Linked DNA regions of Daphnia pulex. The protein of the gene in region 4 interacts with the protein of the main gene of each other region in a pairwise test. Links are inferred from orthologs where the notes say so. Each region holds a gene or a part of one and is shown on either strand. Other genes may lie near its edges. The genes, in order: S-phase kinase-associated protein 2-like, F-box/SPRY domain-containing protein 1-like, F-box/WD repeat-containing protein 1A-like and S-phase kinase-associated protein 1-like.

Region 1 (7,837 bases), on a different chromosome or scaffold from region 4:
TTTATTCAGGTATATATTCTCTAGCATAAATAAAGCCCTAATTTTAATTTCTTTTAATTAACTCTATCAAATGACTTCGTTCAGAAGGTCGTGTACTTAAATACTTCTGCTGTAACTCCGAATAGCGTTCGGTTGGTTCCATAATGTCCCGAAAGCTCCAATCCTGCCAACTATTATTGTAGCGATTCAGTAGTTCAATTTTCTTGGTTTCATCCTTAAAAGTAATAGATACTCGTTAAATCGTACATTCTGAGGATACACAAGGATTAAAATAAAATAATACCATAAGAATATCTTTCGGTGGTTTATAGACTAAATCAGGGACCAAGACTTTCTGGAATATGATAACTGCTCTTAAGGCAAACCATCCCATATAGCTGGGATGTAGGCAAACACCATAAATTGGCTAAATGGATGCCAAAAACATTACAAATAATATAACATCAAGGTAATATTCACCCTTAGTTTACCTGGTCAGTTAGCCAGGGAGAATTGATCACATCTGTTTTCTGATAAAAATAAACAGCACCTGAGACGTGGCCTGTTTGAACAAGCAATGAATTGAATTTGAATAATAAGCATAATTGAATAATGGTATATAAGCAATAATTTGAACAAGCCTGCTGTTTGAACAAGAACTTTTGGTCTTCTTGTTCCTGGTCTCATCTCATAATCATGGAGAATACTAATATCATAGCCTGGAATTGACTACACAAAGATAATAGAGTGATAAACTAATAAATAAAAAACAATGTTATTTAATCAAATAAAACCTGAATTGCTGTTTTAAGACAAGAGCTTATGGCTTGATCAAGGTAATCCTGATTATTGCTTCCAGTATTGTTACGAACAAATGGTATAAAGCCTTTTTCGAAAAATGAAGGACTACTTATCACCACAAAACAAAGTGTGTCTTCATGGTGTTCTAATTGAAAGCCAGATTTCACTCGTTCATTGTACCATCCAACCTATAATAAAGAAATGCATTTAACTCTAATTAGAAGTTAAAAAAATATTGCATAAAATAATTACTACACAAAGAAGCAAAATAAAAATTACCTTGAATGGGTGGCATTCTAACCCAAAATCATGTAAACATTCTGTAAGCTTTGTGTTAACTTCGAATAACGTAGTCATTTTGTCGATTACTAACAGAGTGCCATAGAGATATTTGTGTGCGATGCATATACTAGCCTATAACGGGCAGAGGATATTTTTTTTATCTCCAACGTATGATCGGTTTAATTGTGTAAATCAATCCCGCGCACACGCATGTTTCACGAATTCACACTGCGTGAATCAAATTTCAAAACAACAACTCTTTAAACTCACCTTCAGGTTTTTCTAAACAGTTGACTCACCAATCAACAAGATTCCAGTGTCGTCTGCTACCGTCAAAAAGGATTCACTGCGATTCACTGTGATTTTGATTTTGAAGACGTTGAAAATATATTCAAATTACCATCAAAGTTTAGTCATTAAAAATGGTAACTTGGGGTATTTCCAGTAAAATAGTACGAGTTCTAAGTGCCTTACGACGACCGTGTTTCGCCAAAAGCTATGCTAATAATGTAATATCCATTCGCTGTTTGAATCAAACCATTTCACATAGGAGTTTAAATCTCAATCAAGTATCATTCGAAAATATATTTGACCCGAGACTTCGAATTTTCTTATTAAATATCAAGAAAAAGTTTGATGAATCAGGATTTCAAAACATTGAATCAAAGTCTGGAATAGGTGTAGTAAACAAACAACGCATCCAATCACTTGCTGGATTAGGGGAAAAACTATTACAGACTGAAAATGATCTACAAGAGCTTAAAGCTTTGAGTGCAGATGGTAGGTGTATCTAGTTATATTTATTTAAAAATCTATATTAAATAGTGTATCTTAGATGATAAAAATGGTGACCTTGCAAAAATGGTCAGTGAAGAATTTTCACAGTTAAAGGAAATCCTAGTCCAGATCCAAAATGAAGTATAAATTCAGAGTAATCAAGTTTAAATGATTGATAAGAACCCATTCATTGATTTAGGTGTTAGAACTCATTTTGCAGGAAGATAATCATCAAACTGAGGGAATAATCATGGAATTCTCTGCCGGAGTTGGTGGGCAAGAGTCCATGTTGTTTTGCAATGAAATATTACAAATGTACATCACATACTGTGAAAGTGAAGGATGGGACTATGAATTAACAGATATTGAAAAAAGTGATTTAGAAGGTATTAGGCATGCTGCAATTTGCATTAATAATTCAGGTATGTCTTTTCAAAAATTTAGTTTAATATATTAGATACAACTACCTACTTTTTTCTCAGACGCATATGATCGACTGCAGTTTGAAAGTGGAGTACACCGGGTCCAGCGGGTGCCCAAAACTGAAAAGGCCGGACGTGTTCATACCAGTACGGTAGCCGTTGCCATCCTTCCCCGCCCTTCGGAAGTTTCCGTGACCATTGAACAGAAAGTAAGTTTACTAATACTTAATTCTGTTTCCTTGAATGCATGACTAACATTTTTTTTCTTCTTTTTTTTAAGGATCTTAAAATCGAAACAAAAAGAGCAAGCGGCGCAGGTGGACAACATGTAAATACAACTGAATCAGCAGTGCGAATTGTCCATTTACCCTCAGGTGTAGTGGTAAGTTTACCGAACTAACTGAAGTATTTCTCATCAACAATTAAATGTTTTACATTTTTAATTAGGCGGAATGTCAGACACAAAGATCGCAAATGCAGAATCGTAAGGTTGCAATGGATAAAATCAGAGCTCGTCTTTTCCAAATGAAAATCGACCAACAGTTGGCAACTACTCGGTCAAGTCGTAAGCTGCAGGTAGGATCTAGCGGTCGCTCAGAAAAAATACGGACTTACAACTTCCCGCAAGATCGTATCACAGACCATCGAATAAATTTCACTAGTCATAACTTAGGGGAATTTTTACGAGGCGCAAGGCCATTTCATGTGCTCATAGGAAAACTAAAGGAAGAGTCATACAAGGAACGCGTATTTGAATTTTTAGAAAAAATTAAAGTTTAAGTCCGCTGAATGCCAATAAATTGTTTTACCAGTTTTGAATACATCAATATGTATTACTAATTTTTGCAATAAACATGACTTGAATTTTTCACTCTCTGACTTTCATCCCCCAAATTGAGGTACGTCGAATTCCGACTGTAGGTCTTGCTACACTAGAGAAATAAAACTTGTTGATTTCTATACTCGGAAGTTTGGCGCGAAGTGTTCCAAGCATAGTCTCCGTCAATAAACCAAAAATGTCAAGGTATAAAAGACCACTCTTTTGAAACACCCTAAAGGAAATAGAAATGATTAAAATATCTTTCAAATTTTGCTCTCTAACGCCAATGTTACTTACAAATACACGGAGAGAGGCACGTTGTAACATCGAGCCATCGCCAAATATTCCAGTCGCTTTAAATTATCATGAATATAGCTGACACAAATTGATGTCACTGCTGTGGAGTCGCTTATGTCTAATTCCACCAGCTTTGGACAACGTTGACACAAGGCCAGGACATCTAACATAAAATTCGGCATTCAACTTTAATGATCACAAATTTCCAGTCAACATTACAAACTTACGTTCGTCTTTAAGTGTCGTTCGACAACCACTGATATTTATGCGTTCTAAGGATTTTGGTGCAGATGTACTAATCAACTGAAGAGCTTCAGAATTCAAGTCTGTCCAAGCTAAATTCCAACTGTCAAGTTTCTTACATCCATTCACAATCCATTTAAGTTCACTAACTCCAACACCATAACACATGGACATATTCAGCACTTCAAGCTGCTCATTTTGACTTAGTGCCTTGCATGCTCTTTCATCAACAACACAATGTTCCATACTAAGTTTCTTCAGGTTTTTACAAGTATCAAATAAATCAAATAAACCTGCATAATATGTCCAAATTTGTACCCTTATTCCTATAAATTATGACTTGGTGAGATTACCTTGTGTTGAAATAGATGCCATGCTCAAATCCAAAAATTGCAAATTTCGATACCTTGGAAATTCTTGAAGTAGAGGACTTACTGGATATATTGGATCACAAATCTGTACATTGTTTAGAAAAATTAAATATTAGTAGTTGATAACAAAGAAACAAACAAAAGTTAATTACCTCAGTCTTAGCTAGCCTCAAGATGTGTGCTCCTCTTAAAAGAACACTACCTAGAATCGTAGGTTTTAGGCAGGTGCCACTAAGGTCCAACCTCCTCCATAAAACTTCATCATAACACAGTCGTTTCCAACGCTTTGACACCTGAGCACATTTGGCGATAGTTGATTTTGGAAGCCATTTAAATATGCTGAGAATGACTTCGTCTGAGAGGCGTGAGAATCCATCAATTCCTGGGGGACCATCCATCCTCATTCGTTTAGACAATAAAAAGCTATCACTAGATTGGTCATCTTCAGAAAAATCCATTACAGCTGACGGGACAGCAAAAGGTGAACATTCTTTTCGCTTTACAGCAGGTTCAGGAATATTGGAGATCACTACTTGTTTTACTGATGGATTGCTACAGGAGTTTGAATCATCGTCCATTGCAGATAATCCTAGATCTTCCATGACTTCTATCGATACGTCATGGCAATCAAGACTCCACCGTTTAAACCCGGTATTTAACTTAGCCATATTTTGTAGCAACGGGGCAAACGACGAAATCAACAAAGGGAGAGAATTAATAAAAATTTTGGTACATAAAAGCGTACTGGAAACAATTATTGAGCTGAAATGTTTAACCAAAAGGCACTTCAAACTAATTACTGCGTTTATATTGAAAACGTGTAAAAGAAAAATCTACAATCAGCAACGTCCAAACTCGTCACGTCGCGCGCTAAAAAGACACTGTCTGTGGAATCCGATGTTGACCGTTCAACAATTCATTTCGGAAATTTAAAAAATAATGTAAGCAAAAATCTTAAAATTTACCACAGATTTTAACCAAAGTTACTTTTAATACTAAAGTAACGAAATTATTTAGTAAGGAAAGAAAAATATTCAATTTAGAAAAAAATAAGTATGGCAAAGACGGCGGGAATTCAAATTTGCCTGTGTCAATGCGATGATGCCTGTTTGTAGAATATTTTAACTGATTATTATAACTTTAACATTAAGAATATTATTAAAACTTTAACATTAAGTTACTTAGGAAACTTTGAACAGAGTAATGACTAATGAGTAATAGAAATATTCTAATTACTTCTGCTTAGGATCCAGGAACCAGTTTAAGGGACCAGGGAGGAAGCGAATTTCAAAAAAGATTCAATACAAATACAACTGAGTGAACCGACAGAATGATCACAGATGTCTATAGCTACGGAATCAATAACTTTTAATTTATGCAATGACATCGATGTCGCCAACGTGTATATTTATTCATTAACCAAACCCCGAGTCGTTTCGCGCAAAAGTATTTGTTTGGTTGGTGTTTTATTAACCACACTTTGACAATTTGATTAGGTTGAATAATGTCATATGTCAATTTATTCCAGCAGAAAAAAGGTGAAGACTAAGTACAGAATCGTTGACATTTGGATTTTTATACTTATCGAAGAACAAAAAAATATTGATTGACTTGAGGACATAAGAACACGAAAAAAAAAAACTAAATAAACATCGTATGATTTTAATGTAATTTACTTTAACAAAAGAATATCCAAGGCTTTATCGCGATCGTGTCCAGCAGCAACAAGCGCAGAGCTAATCTTACCGTGTTCAAATCCTAAAGCAGACAACTGATCAACTAACACTAAATGATGTTCTAATTGCGTTGGTAATTCCTTACAGGGCTTAAGAACGTCTAAAGCCGTTTCTATTCTCTCAATGGAATGGCCCGATTCTTCCAGTTTCTGTATTAGTAAAAGCTGATCAACAACATCCTTTTCGTTGGCACCAAGTCGAGCAATAGCACGAACTGCATTTTCTCTCACAAATCCCATATCTTGTAGCTGCTGGACTAAACGTTTTTCGATTGCGTTCAGTTTCCTTTCATACGGAGATGCAACATCAAAGTTTGGTTTAGGCACTGGTCTTTTTATAGAATCTGATGTTAAACGAGGAGGGGGAGTGCGAGAACTGAGTCTTTTGTCCGTCACACCTGTAAATGGCGGTTTATTTATAGGGGTTTCTCCCGTCCCAAAACTTACGTCAGAGAGGTCTGGGACACTTTTAGCTTGACGTAAGTTTTTATGTGAGATTGCTTGATTTTGGAATTCTACAGGTATAGCGATGTTCCCATGAGATAGCTTGTCAACACTAAAGAATGAACTTTCATTGGGAATCCAATTTGCTGCAGCTTCATATTGACGCACAGGTTGATGTCTCTAAAATAAAAATTATATTTTATTTTCTTTAGTGAAAAATAAAAACTAAAATAAGAAAAATAATATAAAATAATATGTACATTTTCAGTCCAAGATGGAATTGTTGATGGGTTATAGTTCTGATACTGTAGTCCATAAGATGGCTGAGGGCTGGGTTGGAGCAACATGGCTAATTCTTCTTTGTCATTCAAGGTCTTTAATTCCATTTCCTCAAAAGGATTTGTTGAATAACTCTCAAATTCAGCTAGATTGATAGCAGACATGTTTTCTTTCTTCTTGATTTCCACAGTCGAGCTTTGAATTGGAGTAAGGACTTCCATGGAAGCCTGAGTATGTTGTAGCAATTGCCCATTCCTTGCTTGCAAGTTGAGAACACTTAGTGAGGGAATGTTGTTAGTAAGACTGTTCAAGGAAAGGTCTGAAGTGATCTCTTCAATTTCCTTCTCATCGACAGCAGCTTGACTCTCTAAAAATGCAGATACACTTTGCTTTCTTCTTGTAGTCTCCTGTGTATGTAGATCTCTCATTGAGGCTATCAGCTTCAATGCACTTACTTCATCAATGAGGTCAATCTAAAGAACAACACATAAGGTGATCTTTGATCATTTTTTAAATTGGATCAATTCATACATTATCAGAAAATAAATGAGGAGAAGGTTCGAAGCATAATCCAGGCGGAAGTGTGGGTCTACGAGGAGGTCGGTACTTTTCGCTAATCTTTACAGAGACCCCTCTGAGGTAACTGTTGGCTAATAAAAATAAAGAGTTCAGTATAATTTGGGCAAAAATTATGAAATTTTTTACCAGAAGTAACCCCAGAACGATCCATTATTATCACAGTAATCCAATAAAAATAATTCGAAGCATCAGAGTAGAAGAAACAGGAAAGTCACTACTTCATTTGTTGACAAAAAAGGTTTTCTGATGCCCTCTAGCGTACACTTGAGTACACATTCAAGGTTATGCAACTGTGAAATTGAGGTTTCTTACGGTTGCTTTAACCCATTTAACATCCATGCGTGACATGAGGTTCGAATTTTATCACGAACGCTATAATCATAGACAACAAAGTCGTCGTTGTGTATGCTATAATCAATCTTCTTCTGTATTGTATTCGTAATTATTAGATTCAAAATTATAGCTACTCTATAGATATATGTAAGAATAGTATCCATTTTTCTGAACATATAGGTTACGAGCTTTGGGTAGCTGTCAATTTTTTGTCTGATTTAAAATAGTAAAATTATGATTGGCTTGAAACCATCTTTAGTCTTGAAATTTCAATTTTATTTGTGTTTCTTCTTTTATTGACCACTATAGGATGAAATTTGGAGAATGCAAAGTTCATTTTTGGAAATTTTCTGGATTTTCATATTGGTTTCAGACATCAATCTTAGCTTTGCCAATGGTGACTGCTTTCATGGGAAATCTCAGCCATCAGTAAAAGAACCAGAAAATCTTTCTGAAGGTTCCTGTGCTGCAAATA
Region 2 (7,663 bases), on a different chromosome or scaffold from region 4:
TACTGAGGCGGAGATTCCACGCTCGGCGTGGAAGTACTTGGTCCAGATGGCTCCTATTGTTGAATGATCCAAAAGTTTAATTAATTACCAAGACTTGAATAAATTAGCATAACATTTCTATAGTTAAAAAAAACTCATCTATTCCACAGTTAATAGTTATCTCACTTTCAATCGCTGTAGCTTATCTTCTCTAGTTTTCTTATCAAACAGTCGTGACACGGAACGCTGAAATATGTGTCAACGTTGCCAAATTCTTTCATTTTAATTCGTACCGCTAAGTTCGTTTCTCCAGGGGTATGGACTATGGAGTCTCTCCATACCCATGGTCTCTCTAAGCCCATGGTTTAAGCCGGACGACACGCTAATGATAAATTATTTTCAGCGGATTTTACTTTCTCTAGAATGTTACATTACACCGTAGGTCTATCCGTCTATGGACTATGATTGTATAACATTCTTTGGTATGCATCCCTATTGACTAGTGCGTATGACGTCATAAATCGTCAATTCGAAGGGGGGGGGGGGGTCCGTAAAGATTTTTAATAAATTATGACATCCTAGACACACTGGACAAAATGAGCCCTAAATTACGCTTCAGTTTCTTTTCTTTTCTTTTTATTTTCCGAAATGAAATGAATTTAATCATTTTCTATGTTGTAATTGAATTTTAGTCACGATGGCAAGTACATCATTAGCGGTTCAGAGAATCAGTACATTTACATGTGGAAGACACATCATGATTACGCCAAATTCTCTTCGGCTCGTCGAGATCGCAACGATTATTGGGAAGCCATCAAAGGTACTATTACCTAATCACTACCATTTTCTTGTAAATTAATTCTCTTTCAAATTGAATAATCGACTTTTCTGCATCTATTTACGACAGCGCACAATGCAGTGGTGACATCGGCCGTTTTCGCACCTGATTCGCATTCACTGATTGAGCAAATGGAGCGACATCGAAGAGAGAAGGAAGAGGAAAAAGCTTCCTCGTTATCAGGAGATGCGTTGATGGGTCGGCGATTAGCGGGATCGGCGACAGCCGATGGAGCGAAACCAAACTCAAATGTGGAAGGAGGAGCCTCTTCCGGCAACGGCTACGTTCTTGTCAGCGCGGATTTCAACGGCTGCATTAAAGTGTTCGTCAATCGAGTCAAACCGAAGCATAGTTCTTTGCCCGTTTCTGCAATGTCCTAAAAAGAGAAAAATAGTCGAACGGCTTGGAAAATTTCAATCGACAATGTAGTCGTTCTTCTCAGTCGACGTGACGACAACAGATAAATATGGTTCAGTTTGGAAATTATGAAATTATCGCGCAACCCAAAGAAACTATATAATAATTTAGCATGCCCATTCATTTATGGCAATGAATACACGCCTCCGATTATCGAGTGCGTGATTATTTAATTCAGAAAACTCTTCCTGTTTGAACCGCTCTTCATTTTTGACGCTAGATGGTAGAGGCATTCAATGTTGTCCTTTCTTGCGGATTGCCATTGGGCAGCGCAACAGAATTCCCGTCACAAGGATTTTTTTTTTTTTTTGGTCGAAAGTAAATCGACGGAAAACGTGTTTTGTTGGTCACACAATAGAATATCCAATCCACCTACCTTAGGGTTTGGAACCCCTAAGGCGATGTACAAATAGAAATTGAAAATGGGGAGGAAATGACCAGCTGTCTTTGCTTGTGAATCGAATAGAACTGAAAATTCCGGTGGTACATGACACTTACACTTCGCTTTATGAGGTTGATGAAGGTCAACGTACACAATAAACCATAAAAGAGGGGACGAAACTTTCTTTGATTTTGACCTATTTTTGGAATGATATTGCTTTTGCGCTTTGATTAATTCAACATGCGAAAAACCATTAAAGCCTTTACTCGATCGTCGTTCGATTTGATGAGCGTAATGGAAATACAGTTAAACAAACTTTTTTGTTTGACCTTCAAGACAGTTTTTGACCAATATGTTGCTAGAAATCTAGGATCCAAGTGCCCATCAGTACATTTCTCAGTTAGAAGCGTTAGAAGAGAAAAAATCACACATGAAGTAGTAATGAGGCTAGAAAAAACCTAAACGATCGAATCCATTCGTATACGATGGTAAATGTAGGAGTACTTAGAAAACCTGATTCCTTACTCATTGGTTAACACCTTTAAGTGTTTGAATAATGCTTATTTATAAAATTAAATAAAGGCAGTGTAGACAAGTCATTTTTCATTTATTCGAGTAATTAAACACGAATTAGATTTTTTTATTCAAAACGCCAAACTTTGGGCAGTAAGAGGTTCAGTTATTCTTTAGCATCATCACCAGTCCCAAGTCATACAAACATACACAGGGAAATTTTAAGTTATACAAATCTATTTCGCAAGTAGCAGTCAGACCGGACGATTAACCATTTGTTGGTTTTCGGTTGAACGTGAAAACACAACCACACGAAATTTGAATTGTAACACACTACAATAATCTGACACACACCAGGGAAATCATGAAAAAAAAAAAAATAATAAATAAATGAAGAATGGGAAAATACGGGAATGTTTTAAGTCAGAGCGGTATTCCCAACGCAACCTTTGTACACTGAATTTTGGGATTCTTTTACAACAACATCCTTTCTTGGTTGGCAAAACGCATTTGCCTGTAGAAATTGATTCACACAAAGAAATTTTCTGTTTAGGAGAGGGGGACAGGCGACAGTTAGCCATCCAAGGGAGGACCCAGGTAGACCATTGAGACTTCTGTGTGCCCATAGACTGCCGACACCGAAGGGTATAAGAGCTTCTCTGGTAAGCCCCTAAACGCCACTCCGAGGAATTCATAGTTTCTTTCGAAAGCTAATGTATTGTCATCACAGTCAAGAATGACTCGTATCCGCTCCCCAACCTGCAACAAAACTTTAGGTTAGGTTGATTCAACTCATTCATTGGTTAGACTCAATCACTTGGTATTTAGGTGCATTGTTCAGCATTGGGTAATTGCCTTGGGAATCTCCATTATGAAGTAAATGATTATCAACCAAATTCCAACCCCAACTTTGGTCATCTGATCCTAGTAAAGCTATGTATCCATGTGTCTGTGAACATGGATTTTGACAATTATTTTTAGATAAAATATTCAAATTTTAACACAATTATACCTGGAGAGTTGCTTCTTTAGTTGCAATTCCAACAACTGCAACTGTTCCAAGAGGACCTTCCCACATCACTTCCCAGGCATGCCTACCTTGACTGAATCCTGCACAAACATTAGTTGAATGGATTAATATGTACACTTGCAACAGGCATCTACAATATTTAGTACTCACCAATTTTACCTCTCACAGCATCTGTACTCTGTGCAACAGGGTTTCTGTGTATGGTAAAACCATTGGGTTTGATATAAATGTTTCTAGAGCAGTCTTCTGGGTTCCAAGCATGGTGAAATGCTTTTAATTTTGTTTTGTAGGTAGGAGCGGAAGATAGGAGGTCTGAGCTCAGGACTTCTTCTGCCAGTTTTCGTATGCAGTGCAGTCTCCAGACATCATTGTCCTCATCATTCAGTATACTGATTCAAATAATAATGTGCAAGGAGAACATAAGTTTCAAACAATCGCTGGTTTTGTTAGCAACGGTAGATCACTAGCGAATAGTCACAAACTGGTGTTGATTTCAAGAAAACTTGTACCTGTACCACCGTTTGCACACCAACGAACTGCTTCTTAAATCCTGCAGCGGCAAATATGAGAAAATATTTCCTAGTATAATATCTGGTAGTATATCCACGTGCATTCTAAACGCCGGCTCGCAAACACTTCAACATTCATTTAGGAAATTTCTTTCGATTTTTTCTGCAATTGACAATACTTCTATGGCAGAACCGGTGTTGCCACATTGCCATAGCAATTGATCTGAAATAAGAAAACCGAACAAAAATTATGAGAATCTAAACAACTTGATAAAACACTGAATTACACCTGTGAAAAAACGATATATTAATATCAAACTACTTTTTTACTAGTTTTTAAGATAAAATAATATTTTAGTTTATGTTTGAAATGGTTCCCGCGTATCCGGAAAAGCAGACGACGTTTGATTTTACTTAGCCTTCTGATTTATGATTTCATTCATATTCATGCTCGATTTCAATAAAAATTTAACGCTTTTCCCATGAAATTAATCAAATTAGCACTTAGTTATTACGATACATTTATTACGATAACTGTATTAACAGCCAAATTAAAAAAATAGACCAATTTAAAAGAGCGAAATAAAAAAAATATATTTCAGAAATTAATAAAATAAAATAACGAAATCGCTGAACACTTGCCTGCGCTTAATTAATTTCCTCTTTCTCCTTCATGTTTTAGCGCTACTTAGTATTTTACATGAATATTTGAAAAAGAGAAAAGGAGAAATTAAACGAGCAAGGAAAATCGAAAATCATTTGTTCATATTTTTGTTCTCACCCAACGACCCAAGGTCACGAGTTTGTTTGAATTTCGAATTTCTGCCCGTTGAAAGTATCGATTTTTTTTTCATTGCAAATTGCGATAGATAGAAAGCGAACTCATGGAGAAGTTAGAATTGAATTGAATCCCAGTCTCATATGACGTACATATAAGACGCTCACTCAGTAAACCCCCCGGACGAAAAAATAAAGAAAAAAAAAATATAATAAAAACTAAGCCGTTGGCCTGCTGTGCCATCATCACCCCCTCGTGCATTTTTGCCTAGCTGCCTGCTGATGCTACAGCAGTGTGTGTCTAGTGACGATCGTATAAAGTTGGCCCAGAACCTTAGGTAAACCCTATTGTCTCTTTTGTTTTGGATTGAGGGGATTTTTATTTTTTATTCATAAAGTGAATTAGATAATAAAGGAGGATACTATTTGTCATTGAGCTTGGAAAGTTTAAGTGAAGATGTCTGCAAAAATCTTAAAATAAGGGGGAAAACTTACCGGTGTGGGGTATCGACTGGTGATGGCGTTTTGGGCGCCATTTCGCTCATCGTGTTCTGAAATCATTTGGAGGAATAAATACGGGGAATTTCCATTTTAGTCTATTTAGATTCTATCATAGTTCTATATGAAATTTGATGATATCTGTAATTTGACAGGAAGTTCGAATTATAACGGCGCTCAGTTGATCATACTTTTGGTCCCACCCACCAAAGATGCTTGTTTGACAAAACATTGTCAGCACATTGGATCTTCCTTGATCTCTTCTCTTTACAGTTAAATAATATAAATAAATTTACAAGAGGTTAAGGAGATGGCACAGTCAACCCCAACTGGAAACATCACCAACATTTGGATCCAAGATGCAAATGGTATGTCAAAGTCTAGACTAAGAAATTATCTCATTCTTTTCAACAAGATAATAAAATGATGGTTGTTTGCATTCCAGGTCAGCCACAAATGATAAAAGTGGTGCATGCCACTGCTGGAAAAGGTGTTCCAGTGTCCATGGCTTCTGGAGCAGTTAGAGCTGTTCTGCGATCTAATGTAAGTCAAGGATGTGCTTGAATAAAATGTAAAAGATGTTAACAATGTTGGCTGAAAATTTGTTTAGGGAACCGTTTTGGCTGCCACACCTCAGATGTTGCAGTCACTTGGCAGAGTGACAAGAGCACCTGGACCTCGTGGACAAGTGGCAGCTGGACAGATACTAGCCATACCATTATCATCAGGAAATGGATCTACTCCGAGTAACAAAAACACTGCTGTACAGTTACCAGTAGTGCCTGTTGTGTTGAGCACTCCTCAACGCTTAAATCAGCAACAACAACAGGGCAAAAACTTCATTTCCCCAATTCTTGATCACAGTGGTTCACGAAAAAGGCAAGATCCTGACCATGAACATGGTTCTGAGAGGTAACTTTTCATTTTATTTTTCAAATGAGTAGTTTTATGAGTAAACTCATTTTTAATAGTAAACGGCGTAAGGTAGACAAAGGAGGCAAAGGATTACGTCATTTCTCGATGAAGGTGTGTGAAAAGGTTCAGAAGAAGGGTACTACAACATACAATGAGGTTGCTGATGAACTTGTAGCTGAATTCACTGATCCATCTCGTTGCACTTCACCTGCTGACCAAGTTAGTATCGTATTAGAAATTCATCTTTTTATCAGTGAAATAATGTTAATTTATTGACAGTATGACCAAAAAAATATTCGGCGTCGGGTTTACGATGCACTGAATGTGCTCATGGCCATGAACATCATATCGAAAGAGAAAAAAGAGATCAAGTGGCTTGGTTTACCTACAAATTCGTTGCAAGAATTCCAGGCACTGGAAGCGGAGAAGCAACGTCGGCTAGAAAGAATTAAGCAAAAGACGCAACAATTGCAAGAATTGGTCCTTCAGCAGATCGCCTTCAAGAGCTTGGTTGTTAATGTTTTTTCTAGTAAAACAGAAACATTTTACTGACACGTCTTGTTTACCTTTAGGTTCAAAGAAACAAGCAAAATGAGCGTCTTCACGGTGGCCCTGCCAGTAATTCTACCATACAGCTACCATTTTTGGTCGTAAATACTAGCAAGAAAACAGTGATTGACTGCTCCATATCTAGCGATAAGATGGAGTATCTCTTCACCTTTGATGATACTTTCGAAATTCATGATGATATTGAAGTCCTTAAGCGAATGGGCATGGCCCTTGGGCTTAACGAGGCCACTTGTACTGAAGAGAATCTCGCCAAGGTATTTTTGTTCTTTTATTTTTAAAGTTTATCTTAATTTTTAAATTTTTCTCGTTTTAGGCCAAGTCTTATGTTCCAAAAGCGTTGGAACATTATGTAGATCAGTTGGCTAGCGGTCAGGCCGAGCCACAGTGGCCAGAGGACGTCAATCCTGTGGTTAAGGAAACCTCAGATCACTTTGGAAATCAAGGTGTTCGAGCAGTTACACCTACAGCGTCGGTCTCAACAGGTTTCTCAGACTCCGAGGATGACGATGTGGATGACGATGAAGACAACTCCGACGTGGAAATCAATTAAAGGGTGTGGTTCTACTGATGCGTTGTCTCATTGCGTCCATTTCTACTGTCGCTTTACATGCGGCTGTCCTCGCTGATTGGATGCATTTCTCTTCGCTTGTTCTCGGTTCAGTGTTTACCCTTTCCTTAGAACCTCCTTTTCAATGTCGCCAATTTAAGCCAAGTGAGAGTATCCATCGATGATTTTCGTGGGAATCTGAACCGCGTGTGTGTGTCTATTAAGATGACGGAGTGAGCTCTTGTCGGTATAGGAGACCGCATCGACAACTGGAAACATTGAAAACTCAGGTGATGAATATTTGCAAAAGTGCCTGTCGATGTATTTTCGAGTAGAAGTGAGGTTTCATTGTCGATAACAGTTTTCTTCGTTCATTTTTGTTTACCGTCGTACAAAAACAATGTCGTTCGTTATTTTCGTCTCTTAGTGTTCATATCTTGTTCATCCATCTCGTTGACACGAGCATGTCCGGGTGCATCAATAGTCTTTGCTGGCTATAAACTATTCCATTTCACTTTGCCCTATGATGGGTATTTATTGCAAACTTCACAACTGTATTACCTTACATTTCATGAGTACACATTACAAAAAAAGAATAAGAATAGTAGCAGTTAAGTTGTTATTCATTCTTACAAGAGATCATCATCATCACACAAGTCTACAAATCCTATGAAAAGAAAAATTTTCT
Region 3 (4,272 bases), on a different chromosome or scaffold from region 4:
GCTAACCCCTTCAGTTAGATGCCTGTATCTCTTTTCCACGACCTAGAGGGGCTTTTACATCGACACGTAAGTGTAAGTGCGCTGGGGTGAGGTACGTGATGATGGCGTTAAACTAGAAGGCGAATCTGTGTGAAGAAAGTCCCAAATGAGGATCGTGTCGTCATGAGAAGAGCTTACGATCTGGAACTCATCAAACTGCAGTCGAAAAACTCGACCGGTATGTTCCTAAAATGTTCGTGTGTAAAATAGTTAAGGGATTATTTTTAACCAAGATGTTAAAAGTGAATAATACCACGAGGGTTCGAAGGCAAAGGGTCCCAGCTGGTGCTCTGGGGTCTAGCGCCGCTTGTAAATCCCAAACTTTGATTTTTCCATCGTAGGCTCCACTTACGATGCGTTTGGAATCGAACCTGAATCATTTAAAATCATCCGACAATAAATAAAAATGGTAATAATCATTTTGGGAATCGTTACTCATGCTTTACCTGATACATCTAACTAATTCTTCGTGACCTTCCAGTACGCGTATGCAAGCGCCACATTCAATATCCCACAACCTGCAAGATCATTACAACAAAATGAAAATGAGATCTACAAGAAATTGTTAAGCTGAAGGCATTTACCTAATAGAATTATCGGATGATCCAGAGACGACTAATCTGTCCCTGTATTGCAAGCAGGCAATGCCACGCTTGTGTCCGTTTAATGTCCGAACAAACTCACAGGTTGCTGTAGACCACACCTTGATGGTTCGATCACCCGAGGCAGAGACAATGTACTTGTCATCAAAGTCAACAACGTTCACAGCTGCACGATGACCAACAAGCACACGACGGAGGTTAATTTCAGTGGGACTCACCATATCCCACACAGCAATACTTCGGTCCTGAAAGATTTAAAAGGCCACATAAATATTTACAAATGCTATTTTTACAAGCTTTTAAAGTTACCTTGGAACACGTAACCATGAGTCCATGAGCAAACCGTAAATGAAGGACGGCTTCACAGTGGTGAATGAGTGTGTTGACCTTAAAATGGGTAATATTAATAATGCTTTTTATAAAATGATTTAATTAACGTACCATTTCCCCGTTGTTGAGATCCCACACTCTGACAGTTGAATCAGACGATCCGCTAATTATCACGCGCTCATCGTACTGTAAACAAAGTACGGATCCCGTATGTCCAGTAAGAACCTTCAAGGTAAATCAATAAATAAACAAGTAATTAAATCTCGCAAACTAATGAAAACCAACTTTTGCACATTGGAGAGTTTGTCGATCCCAAATCTTTATGGTATTATCTCTCAACCCAGAGACAATTCGTCGGTCATCATACTGGAGGCAGTAAACACCCTTCGAATTTTCTGATCTACAGTTTATCCGTTGCAGTGTATGTCTTCCACACCGCCAGTTGTTTTCAATTTGTTCAATGTCCTTAAGGATGCGTGGATATAACTTTCTGTAAAAGGAATGATCTGGCTGTTGTTCACCAGGACGGGGTTTGAAAAGATAGGCTCCCCATCCTCGTCGTTCACTCAAGCCTCTCCATAGAGAATCTGTTCGTACCTGTTATAAAGAGATTTTTAAAATTTTGTTTTCAAACTTATACTCATAATTTTAAAGATATACTTTTCTTTCAATGAGTTTTTTCCATAACATTCCATCTGCAATCACACGTCTCCATTCTTTGCAGACTAGTTCAGCATTTCTAAGACTACTATCATCCAGGTAACTTAAAATATTTTCTGCTATATGGTCTAAACCTTTTTCTAAATTTCAAATAAAAATTAGTTTAATTTGTACTATTTCAAATTTTGTTTTCCATGAATTACTGGGCAAGAATGATATAAAATCTCGTTGAAGCATTGGTTGCAAAAACGAGTTAATGTGGCCGTGTTGGTAGTGACACATTCGCTGCAATAACTGCTCCACGAATTCCACCTGGGAAACAATTATTGTTAAAGGAACATGATTATAAACTAGAATAAAAATAGTCTTCACACCTGATCAGATTCTGGCCAAGAATCAAAGCACTTGAGACAAGGTTCCTTTTCAACTAGGTAATTGGACGATAGTTCGGAACGGCTTCGTACAAGGCTGAGCATCGTATTTGCCTAGAATGAATGCACAAAACACTTCAGCTATTGAGAAATATGCATAACAACACTAACGACGAGCAAAGAAGAACCAAGGACAAATCTCGGAAGTTGACAAGGAAATATTGAAATTAGGCCTCCAACATGGCTGCCATTCCCAGTAGCACTGTCTCTTCTTCTGGATTTATTCAAGGCTTTTCTTCAACTTAAAGAACGAATTTAGCGAGCACGATTTTACCCCAATCGCTGGTGGAACATCTTCCACGATGTTTTCAGCTTCCATTTCACTTCCTTCCTCACTTATTTCACAGCAAATTGACAATACCAAATACTACAAAAGTCTTTCTCTTCCCCAACCCCACTTCCTCTACACTAGGTTCGTTCGAGACTGGCAAACTGACATAAATGTAACGCAGCTAGCGCTCCGGACTACGGTGTCCATGTTTCGAACTTTTCTTGTTTAATGCAGCCAAGGGGCGGGGTTACCTAACAGTCTAGAGTCTAAACCCCCTAAAACCTGCGACTGGTTGGACCTGAGACTTGGAGTCACTATGTTGTGAGCACTAAGCTTGGCGATTTGAACACTGTGGCGCTAACTGTATTTCCAACAATAGAAGATGTGCGCTAATTTCTCTTTTGTGATGACTTGCAGTGCACAACATTGCACAATTTCCTTTATGTCGAGTTGTCGATAAAGGAACCGAGATTCCGAGAAGTCGGTGAGAATGAGACAAATGAGATTTACTGCCGAATTAGTAAAAAGTAGCATTAATGTTCATTTTTTGGCAATTAACTATTAGAACTTTTCTTAATGAAAATTTCTTTACACTAACTTATAGAAGATGCCAATGGTTAAAGTAATCAACCATCAATGAATCCTAGAAAACGAAATAAGTTTGAAAGAATGTAATACTTTAATTCAACATTTTTTTATAAAATTCGATGAATTCATGTACAACTATTTCACAATACATTTATCTTAACAAAATGGTTTATTTTTCAAATTTCCCAAATTGAGAAGCTAACAAGTCAGGTCTGCCGTTTTCACTTTATTTGATGTCGAAGCAATTCAGCCGTACCCTAGCTAGCAGTCATCAAGTTTGTGCTCGATCAACAGGCTTCGTCCGATCGCATGATTATTGTGGTATATAGTAGAACACGATCGGATTTCACGATTTCATAACCTGGAAAACGTACCGGTTGAACAAATGGCGCACTTCTGCGAAGAGAGGAGTTATCCAGTTCTCTTTTGTCAATTATAAAATAAATAAAATAAGGCTAGAACCAAACACTGGCATCATTGACCAAGTTGAATATTGGCCATAGCCAAATAATGAGATTTGTAGGTCGCTAGTCGAAGCGTTCCTGCATTTAAAACGTGGTAAAAAGAAAGCGAGACGAGACTCGCTTCACCGGCAGAAGGTCGAGACTCGAGAGTGAAAGCTCGTAGAAAGTTTGTCCCGCTTGAATAACCTGTGCTAAAATAAAGTTTTCTCTCTTCTTATCAACACGAAGAAAATTTCCAATTCTTTACTCTAAGCGCATCATATAAGAAAGCGATTCACTCATTTTATTGCTGTTAAGTCAACAAGTATCTAAAGCAGGAAAAGTATATTTGCGCAAACTAAAAGTAAAATATTTCGCAATCACAATTTTACGGCACCATCGAGTCATCAACAGTGGTTGCGACATTATCCTTTCTTGCTGTAGCATCAAGCATCCAGATTGGGTTCTTATTATATATCCTTATGGGTTATGGTGTAATCGTATGTTAACATCCTTCAGTAATTCAGTTGGGTGAAAGAGATATGACTAAACTCAAGGCGGAAGTGGTTTTAGGTAACCTTGATGATGCGCTTGCAGGTAAGAATTCCGATGAAAATGATGCAAATAAAAGAAAATGTTAAATTTTTTCAAGCTTGGCCATCTGTCGTTCTAAATTGGAAACAATTGTAGGCAGATAGCCAGCTAGACATCACTGCATCGTGCAATCACCGCACTCCATATGCAACAATGCAAGAGCCAAGAGGTTCAAGTTTTTACTTTTCCAGAGGCAAATTCTATCTTTCTGTTTCCTTATCCAAATTCCACAAGACCGTGCTTTCGGGAGAGGGGGGGGGGGGGATTCCAGTTTACTTAATGCGCAATTTTGTCTTCATTTAACCATATCTGAG
Region 4 (7,342 bases):
GAACTTTTCAAATTTCTCAACTTACATATCCATGAGAGTGAGTCATTCTTGTTGGGGACAATCTTGATTTTAAGATCCTTGCCGCTATCCAACTTGCTTGGGTCAGTCAGGGATTCATAATGGATCTTGTCTAGGGCATCTGAGCAGTTGGAGATCAACTATAGAAGGTGTTGATAATCAAGCTCATAAGCTGAGCAATCTTGGCCTGGAATGTCATAGTCTCAGCTTCATCTTCCATTTGATCTTCTCCAGGCATCTAAAAAGGGAAAGGAAAATATTTCAGTAAGAAATGTTTGTCAATTGTGGTAGATTGCACTCACAAATTGAAATTCTACATACTATCTATGGACTTGAGGCATACCAAAAAATGTGTAAAAAACCAATTTGTTTGTCTAAACCAGTAGTAAAACTGGTAAAACTTACTTTGCTTTTAAACGTAAACAAACAAACCCGACGCTTTTCTGTTCACGTTTGGTGGGGATCTACATGTATACAAGGCCGCCGGGCAGTCGTAAAAACTGCCACCAAATTCGCTTCTTGTTAGGCCTGCAAACTATAGCTTTGGGTTGACACACATCAAGCCGGGAAAGTGAGCCCGTTCGACTTTGAATCGCTGTGTAAAAAATACAGCTATTAGTATATCTTCATGTGATCCATTTTGAAGACCTTTCTTTGTTTAATCTCTTTCATACAAAAATTTTCATGATAAGTAACACATTTACGTAAATTTTGTATTAATGTTTAGTGTCGTTTTGAATTTGCAGTTTGAATTGCAGCGGTGGCGTTTCGAAACTGAGCCCCGTTTGACTTAGAATCGCTGTTTTAAAAAATGAATATATTATATCTTCGTAAAATGTGATCCATTTTAAAGAGATTTCTTTTTTAAATCTAATGCCTACAAAAATTTGCGTGATTGGTGTCACAATTACGTAAATTTAAGTGTCTAATTACTGCAATTGAATTTTGCAGTTTGAATTGCAGCGGTGGCGTGTCGAAACTGAGCCTCCTTCGACTGTGACTAGAATCCCTACGGGAAACTGCGCATGGCGCCATGGCTTGGAAAAAATATTTTGGGGATTTGGCCATCTCGAATTGTGCAAAACCGGAGAGAGAAAAAAATCAGTTAATTGGTTTTATATATTGCCATTTGCCAACAAAAAGAAATGTAGAATACACAGAAGTCAAAACTCAAAAATCTCGAAAACTGGAAAAGAACACGTTTTTCATAAAAACCGCTTTAACATGACTGTTGGTATACTTTCGCCCCTTCCCCTCCGAGTGTATACTATGCGATGCGAAAGTTGCAGTGATGTTTTCCATCACAGAGCGAAACAGGGAGGAGAGGAGGGTTCATTTTTACTGAACATTTTTCAGACCAGCACCAGCGCCATTTGCTCTAGAGCAACCTTTATAGAAAAGTACGTAATTTGCTTAATTTTTTGTTGAACTCCAAGCTTAATTTTCTCAACATTATTACAATACGGACTAGAGAGTTAGAAACTCGAAAATGTACCCATAATGTTTGAGATAATTCCCATAATGATGTGATTTTCTTGACTGTTATTTTTGTTTGGAATGTGTGTGCTGGTTCTCCTGAGGGCTTGATCCATTCATTGTTCTTTGCTGCTGGACTTTTGGTTATCAAAAAGTTTTTTTGTGTATTTCAGTTTTCAGAGAACAAACACAATTCACACAATGCCAAACATCAAGCTGCAGAGTTCCGATGGAGAAACATTTGAGGTTGATGTCGAAATTGCCAAGTGTTCAGTAACAATCAAAACAATGCTTGAGGATCTAGGTAATATTTTTCAATAAGCTTAATGTTAATGTAACAAATAAAATCAAAAGTTGCACCACAAAGATATTTATAGGCAAATGCGTCATTATTTTCTTTTCAAATGCTTAAAAAAGGTAACGTTCAATTGAAATTCAATTTTGGTTTTAGGAATGGATGAAGATGACGAAGAAGTTGTTCCTTTACCCAATGTCAATTCTGCTATTCTACGTAAAGTAATTCAGTGGGCAACTTACCACAAAGATGACCCCCCACCACCAGAGGATGATGACAATAAGGAAAAACGTACTGATGATATCTCATCATGGGATGCTGATTTCCTCAAAGTAGATCAAGGAACTCTGTTTGAACTCATCTTGGTAAGTGTTCATTTTCTGATATCACACCTATGAAAACATTCTACAATTGTTTTAAGTTAAAAATGTTAGTGAAATGTAATGTACATATTTTTGTTTTTAGGCTGCCAATTATCTGGATATTAAAGGCTTGCTGGATGTTACTTGCAAGACTGTTGCAAACATGATCAAGGGGAAAACCCCAGAAGAGATTCGCAAGACCTTCAACATCAAGAACGATTTCACCCCTAGTGAGGAAGAGCAAGTACGCAAGGAGAACGAGTGGTGCGAAGAAAAGTAAATTATCTCGACGAAATTTTGTTTTCACATGTTACATGTACCTTTGTATCCAACTTCATGTTTTCAAGCCAAGAATACAATAAATTAAAAAGCAGTTTTAAGTGTATAGTCAAACAAAAGAACAAGTTGTACGAAGTTCCGTAGTGCACTGGTGAATTAACTGTATGTTTTAAAACAGCTCGTGCTTTAGACAACCTCCCGTTTTGCCAATTATAATGTACAAGTTTTGGTTTTTTTGTGTGTGTGTGTGTGTGTGTGTGTCAGTGTGTTGAACACTGCATTATTTTTAGATTTTGTTTCGTTAGATGGTCTCCTGAAAATGAGCATATCAAGAAAAAGATAAAGGGACTCGCGGATTATATCCGGGCTTAGCTACTAGAAATGCTTTGCAAGTTAGACACCATCATTGGTTTTCATAGGTAGATGATAGGCATGATACCTTGACGGCTTGACCATTAATTTTATAATTTTCCCTGCATACGTTTTGTATGCATAATATGTAGTGTTTCTTATAATGTGCATAGATTGCATTTTCTTCGTAGAAATAATTGTTCACGGGAAGTCGGAAGAAAATGTTCACTGGTGCGTGCTGATGGTTGCCGAAAGTCTATTTAAAAATTAACTATAGATTTTAACTTAAAATGATCAGTAGTATTATTATGTAAGGGTCATGAGATGATGAGACATTGATTGAATCACCACTCCGGAATGCGGAAGCATTCTCAATAAGTTCCTTTGAATCGAATCGAATCGATTTGAATTCGAAAAAAAAAAAAAAAAAATCCTTGAATCGTCTGCTACTTGCTTGCGCGTTACGCCCTCATGAATTTTCGGTTCGTCTGTTCTGTTTATATTTTCTTCTTTCAACTTTTTCTATTTCTACTCCTCAATTTAAAAAAAGTAATCAAATAATTAGATTTAATGAAGTTTGTAAATTTAATACTAATTATAATGGAAAAATGGTGTTCTCAAATGGGAATTTTATTCAATAATATAGGCTAAGTCACCTAACTGAGATTTTCTCTACTCTGTCTTTGAAATGACATTATCTTTGTGTTTGTGTTTCAATTTCTGAGCTTTCAGTTTACTTGTTTTTTAATGTCTTCAATTTTTTCTTAGGGAGAAGAAAATGGCAGCCAAATGGAGTAATGAATATGTAGTTGCTGAACATAAGGATCTACAGGTAATAATACTGTTTTAATTTTGTTTTTTTTTACTTTACAAACAAAAATAAATAATAACAAGTGGGTTCTTTCATTTAGGCAAGCACAATGGCTCTTGATAGTTCTGGACAATATGTGCTATTGGCTGGGTAAATAAATTTTTGAATAACTCATTTAATAATTTTGATATGATTGAAGCACTCTTTGACATTCCAATTCATTCATAATTTATTAATTGTTTTTTGTTTTTATATTTTACTCTTCAAGACGAAGGTGCTTAGCAATTGTTGATGTTGACAATCCATCAGTAGTGATAAAGAAGTTTCCTCGTCAAAGCAAATGGGAGGTTGGATCAGCTGAATGGAATCCACACTCACATCTTTCACACCTATGTGCCATATCGGTATTTGTACTACTTCAATGTTGCATTTACCATGCAGATTTTTGAACAGTTTCTGTTATAGAGCAATCAACGAACAGAGATTCTTTCATGGAATTCTATTGACTTCACACCTCTCTATTGTTTACGTTTCCACACGCGTGCAGTCAGCGATTTAAATTGGCATCATTTTGAACCTTATCTCTTGGCTTCCTGTTCAGTTGACACTTATATTAACATATGGGATATTCGAGACCCTCGAAAGCCATGCGTTTCCCTCTCTGCCGTAGGTAAAATAAAATGGGACAAAATTTAGTATAATACAAATAGGATCTGTATAGTCTAAATATTGTTTACAGTTGGAGCTACTCAAGTGCGATGGAACCGCGTTACCAGCCATTTACTAGCAACTGCTCATGAGGGAGACGTTCGACTATGGGACTGGCGGAAAGGGAGTTCCCCCGTGCAATACATTGCGGCACATTTGCACAAAATTCATGGGCTTGACTGGAGTGCTAACCAAGAATATCAGCTTGCTACTTCCAGTCAAGATTGTACTGTTAAATTCTTTGACGTAAACAATCCCCGTGTAGTCGAGAATGCCCTTAGAACCGTGTCTCCGGTTTGGCGAGCGCGATTTACTGTAAATATGACAATTTCTTAATTTTTTTTTTTTTTTTTTAGTTATTTGTGTGTGATAAATCAATAGTTAATAGAACTACTAATTAACGATATTTTTTTTCTTTTGCCTGTATAGCCCTTTGGCGATGGCATGATGACAACACAATTACGACGAGGAGAAAACAGTTTGCTACTTTGGAGTCTATCCGATTTGTCTAATCCGGTTCATTCGTTTCTTGGGAATAACGATCTAGTTCTTGAGTTTGATTGGAAATCTTCCCGTTCCGGTATAATCAAACGTTCAAATTTAAATTTTTGGACTTTGAAATTATTTGATTTTTATATGTTTAGATGACGACGACTATCAACTTATCACCTGGTCAAAAGATCAGAGCTTACGAATTTGGAGAGTGGATGTTAACCTTCAAAAAGTAGGGCGAATTCAAATTTCAATTATTTTTCTGGTTTATGTAAAAAAATATTTAAAAATATTCTTTTTGCCAGTTATGTGGCTATGAACCTGAAAATCAACCACAAATCGTATATGAAGAAAACGAATCGACTTATGACGTTACTGGTGACATAAATTCATTAATTATTAGCATGAAAAATCTGTTTTATATTGTATTATTTAATTATTTAATATGTTCAGCTGTTGACGCAATTTCAACAAAAAGCGACAAAGACATTGAAGTTGGGCTTGAAGTAGTGGAAGAAACCTATTTAGACCTTCACCATAGTTTGGCACCGTCTATAATTGTACCTGACTCGTTACGCCTAGCTGGACATAAAACTGTAGCAGCCTCTATAGCTGCAGCACAAGCTGTACTAACCAACACGTTATCACCAACATCCCATCGGAAAAAGAAGTCTGCGCTGTCAATAAACAGTAGCATCGTCGGAATAGATGCGATTTCTCAACCTGAACATTATTCATTCAACAAGGAAATCGACCAACTTAAGTCATTAGGTAAATTTATGTCCCAAATGAACTATTAGTAATTAACTGAATACGTAAACTTTTCCCTGGAATAAATTTGTGGTTATTTTTCTGTTTCTTCAGGTTCCATTGGTACTGATAACTCTATCAGTGTTTGCGATGTAGACGAGACACAACGAAGCTTAACAACAGTGATTCGCACTGCAAAGCATCAAATAATACTTCATATTTCTATGCCTCCATCGTATCCCGACGGAGCGATTCCAAATTTTCTATTCGGAAAAGGAACGACTATTGACAACAATGCCAGAAGCAAAATGTTAAAAGTATTTCGAGAGAGTTTATTCTTGCGTAACTCAAAAGATTTATTTGACACGGCGGCATTGTACAGGTTTTGAAACAAGCAGCAACTCTATCGTGCCGCAAAGGTCATCCGTCTATAGAGCTCGTGCTACAACAACTTCTAATTTCAGTCGATCAGTTAACACCAATTGATAAGTCAGAAACGGAATCGTCAAAGACCATAACATTGAATGTCAACTCATCAACTACCGGAAATACTCCTTTCAGGTAACATTTAATTCGTATTTAGTTACTTAGATGAAACGTATATTCAATATGCTACTAAACATAATTAACGAATCTGTTTTCTAGGTTACCGCAAACTGGTCTTGGGCATCCTGGTTTCCTACAGAATGGCGGTTTATTTGGTAGTCTAACTCATCATCAAGACCACAATATTCCATACCCTCGGTCATCCGGTGCTCGATTTTGCAGTGCTGGTAATGTCATTAAAACAAAAAACATAAAAATATCCTTCAGCAAACTGCTATATTGATTTGCCCTTGTTTTATTTTATACAGGTATGCTGATTTGTTTTGGTCGACCATCCTATTTAAGGTTTTTGATTAATTGAAATGATTAATCGTACGACTAGGAATTCATCAGTTCTATTTTATTTATATAATTGAAGGCGTGTGAACAGTAAAACTTCGGACACTTCAACTACACCTCGTTCTCTATCCGTGAACCAAGCTTATTCATCAAACTTGGTACAGCATAGCTTGGTAGCTTCATCAAATACGACTCCTTATGGATTGTTGTATCCGCCCGTTGCTCAAAGTCCGACCGGTGATCCGTCAGTCAGCATCTCGTCTTTTTATAACCAAGACAGGGTAGGCTATACTTGGAAGTATTTCCGTGATTGCTGACATTAGCCTTTTATTAATGAGATAATTCCATTGCTGATTAAATAACAAAATATTTTGTAATTCATTCAGAGACAGAAATCTCGAACTTCTAAGTCGAAAAATAGACTTTCCTCTTATAGCTCGTCTTCAGACGAAAATAAAAGGGGAGCTCAAGAGGCACGTCATCATAAGGTGGTCGGAATGGTGACGATTTACGATGCTTCTGGATTGATGCCACAGCAGTTAGAATTAGCAGAAAGATATGTGTTAGTTTATCTTTTATATATTTTCTTGTATAATAATTCCTTGAATCAGATTTAGTCATAGTTTCATTACATATTTTTATTCACCAGATTTAGCGATACTGATACGGCATGGATGTGCAACCAAAATGCAGCGGTTGCTGCGCAGTTTGGCAGAAAAGATTTGACTTACATTTGGTCGTTGGGTGCCCTTCTGGCAACTCCTACCTTGATACACGAAAATAATACCAATGACCTTGATACCCCATGGGCTCAAAATCCATTCGGCCGGAAGCTTCTTCATGCGATGTATGTATATGTGTATTTATTTGATCTCTTTAGCGTATACTTAAAACAACACACCAACATTATAATTT

Evidence for each region.
Region 1: the proteins of S-phase kinase-associated protein 1-like (region 4) and S-phase kinase-associated protein 2-like interact in a two-hybrid assay, tested with the Drosophila melanogaster proteins (2 studies listed by BioGRID). The link is inferred for Daphnia pulex from reciprocal best matches to the Drosophila melanogaster genes SkpA and Skp2.
Region 2: the proteins of S-phase kinase-associated protein 1-like (region 4) and F-box/SPRY domain-containing protein 1-like interact in a two-hybrid assay, tested with the Drosophila melanogaster proteins (2 studies listed by BioGRID). The link is inferred for Daphnia pulex from reciprocal best matches to the Drosophila melanogaster genes SkpA and Fsn.
Region 3: the proteins of S-phase kinase-associated protein 1-like (region 4) and F-box/WD repeat-containing protein 1A-like interact in a two-hybrid assay, tested with the Drosophila melanogaster proteins (3 studies listed by BioGRID). The link is inferred for Daphnia pulex from reciprocal best matches to the Drosophila melanogaster genes SkpA and slmb.

The regions. Positions count from the first base shown.
Region 1 is NC_060018.1:4,259,233-4,267,069, reverse strand, and holds S-phase kinase-associated protein 2-like, read right to left. Parts: upstream 4,890-7,837; 5' UTR 4,661-4,889; coding exon 4,145-4,660; intron 4,078-4,144; coding exon 3,975-4,077; intron 3,915-3,974; coding exon 3,606-3,914; intron 3,542-3,605; coding exon 3,379-3,541; intron 3,314-3,378; coding exon 3,130-3,313; 3' UTR 3,074-3,129; downstream 1-3,073. Other genes in the region: cyanocobalamin reductase / alkylcobalamin dealkylase-like, read right to left, coding at 44-214, 284-406, 471-541, 621-708, 774-968, 1,060-1,137; peptide chain release factor 1-like, mitochondrial, read left to right, coding at 1,485-1,842, 1,898-1,980, 2,039-2,261, 2,322-2,470, 2,542-2,643, 2,709-3,041.
Region 2 is NC_060023.1:5,714,364-5,722,026, forward strand, and holds F-box/SPRY domain-containing protein 1-like, read right to left. Parts: upstream 3,869-7,663; 5' UTR 3,773-3,868; coding exon 3,669-3,772; intron 3,549-3,668; coding exon 3,310-3,548; intron 3,240-3,309; coding exon 3,142-3,239; intron 3,079-3,141; coding exon 2,947-3,078; intron 2,889-2,946; coding exon 2,703-2,888; 3' UTR 2,205-2,702; downstream 1-2,204. Other genes in the region: WD repeat-containing protein 44-like, read left to right, coding at 672-799, 887-1,197; transcription factor Dp-1-like, read left to right, coding at 5,254-5,311, 5,389-5,486, 5,554-5,855, 5,915-6,077, 6,138-6,368, 6,431-6,682, 6,742-6,978. UniProt on the Drosophila melanogaster protein: Required in the presynaptic motoneuron to down-regulate the levels of wnd and restrain synaptic terminal growth at the neuromuscular junction (NMJ). Negatively regulates the localization of vas to the posterior pole of the oocyte.
Region 3 is NC_060024.1:7,565,569-7,569,840, forward strand, and holds the start of F-box/WD repeat-containing protein 1A-like, read right to left. Parts: upstream 2,801-4,272; 5' UTR 2,382-2,800; coding exon 2,337-2,381; intron 2,117-2,336; coding exon 2,006-2,116; intron 1,944-2,005; coding exon 1,835-1,943; intron 1,772-1,834; coding exon 1,632-1,771; intron 1,569-1,631; coding exon 1,257-1,568; intron 1,197-1,256; coding exon 1,083-1,196; intron 1,029-1,082; coding exon 951-1,028; intron 887-950; coding exon 624-886; intron 558-623; coding exon 486-557; intron 411-485; coding exon 293-410; intron 226-292; coding exon 55-225; 3' UTR 1-54.
Region 4 is NC_060019.1:12,030,187-12,037,528, reverse strand, and holds S-phase kinase-associated protein 1-like, read left to right. Parts: upstream 1-1,260; 5' UTR 1,261-1,287; coding exon 1,288-1,418; intron 1,419-1,667; coding exon 1,668-1,798; intron 1,799-1,945; coding exon 1,946-2,154; intron 2,155-2,254; coding exon 2,255-2,431; 3' UTR 2,432-2,524; downstream 2,525-7,342. Other genes in the region: heat shock protein 90-2-like, read right to left, coding at 26-33; GATOR complex protein WDR59-like, read left to right, coding at 3,253-3,263, 3,550-3,613, 3,693-3,742, 3,861-3,996, 4,058-4,262, 4,332-4,615, 4,730-4,880, 4,945-5,024 and 9 more.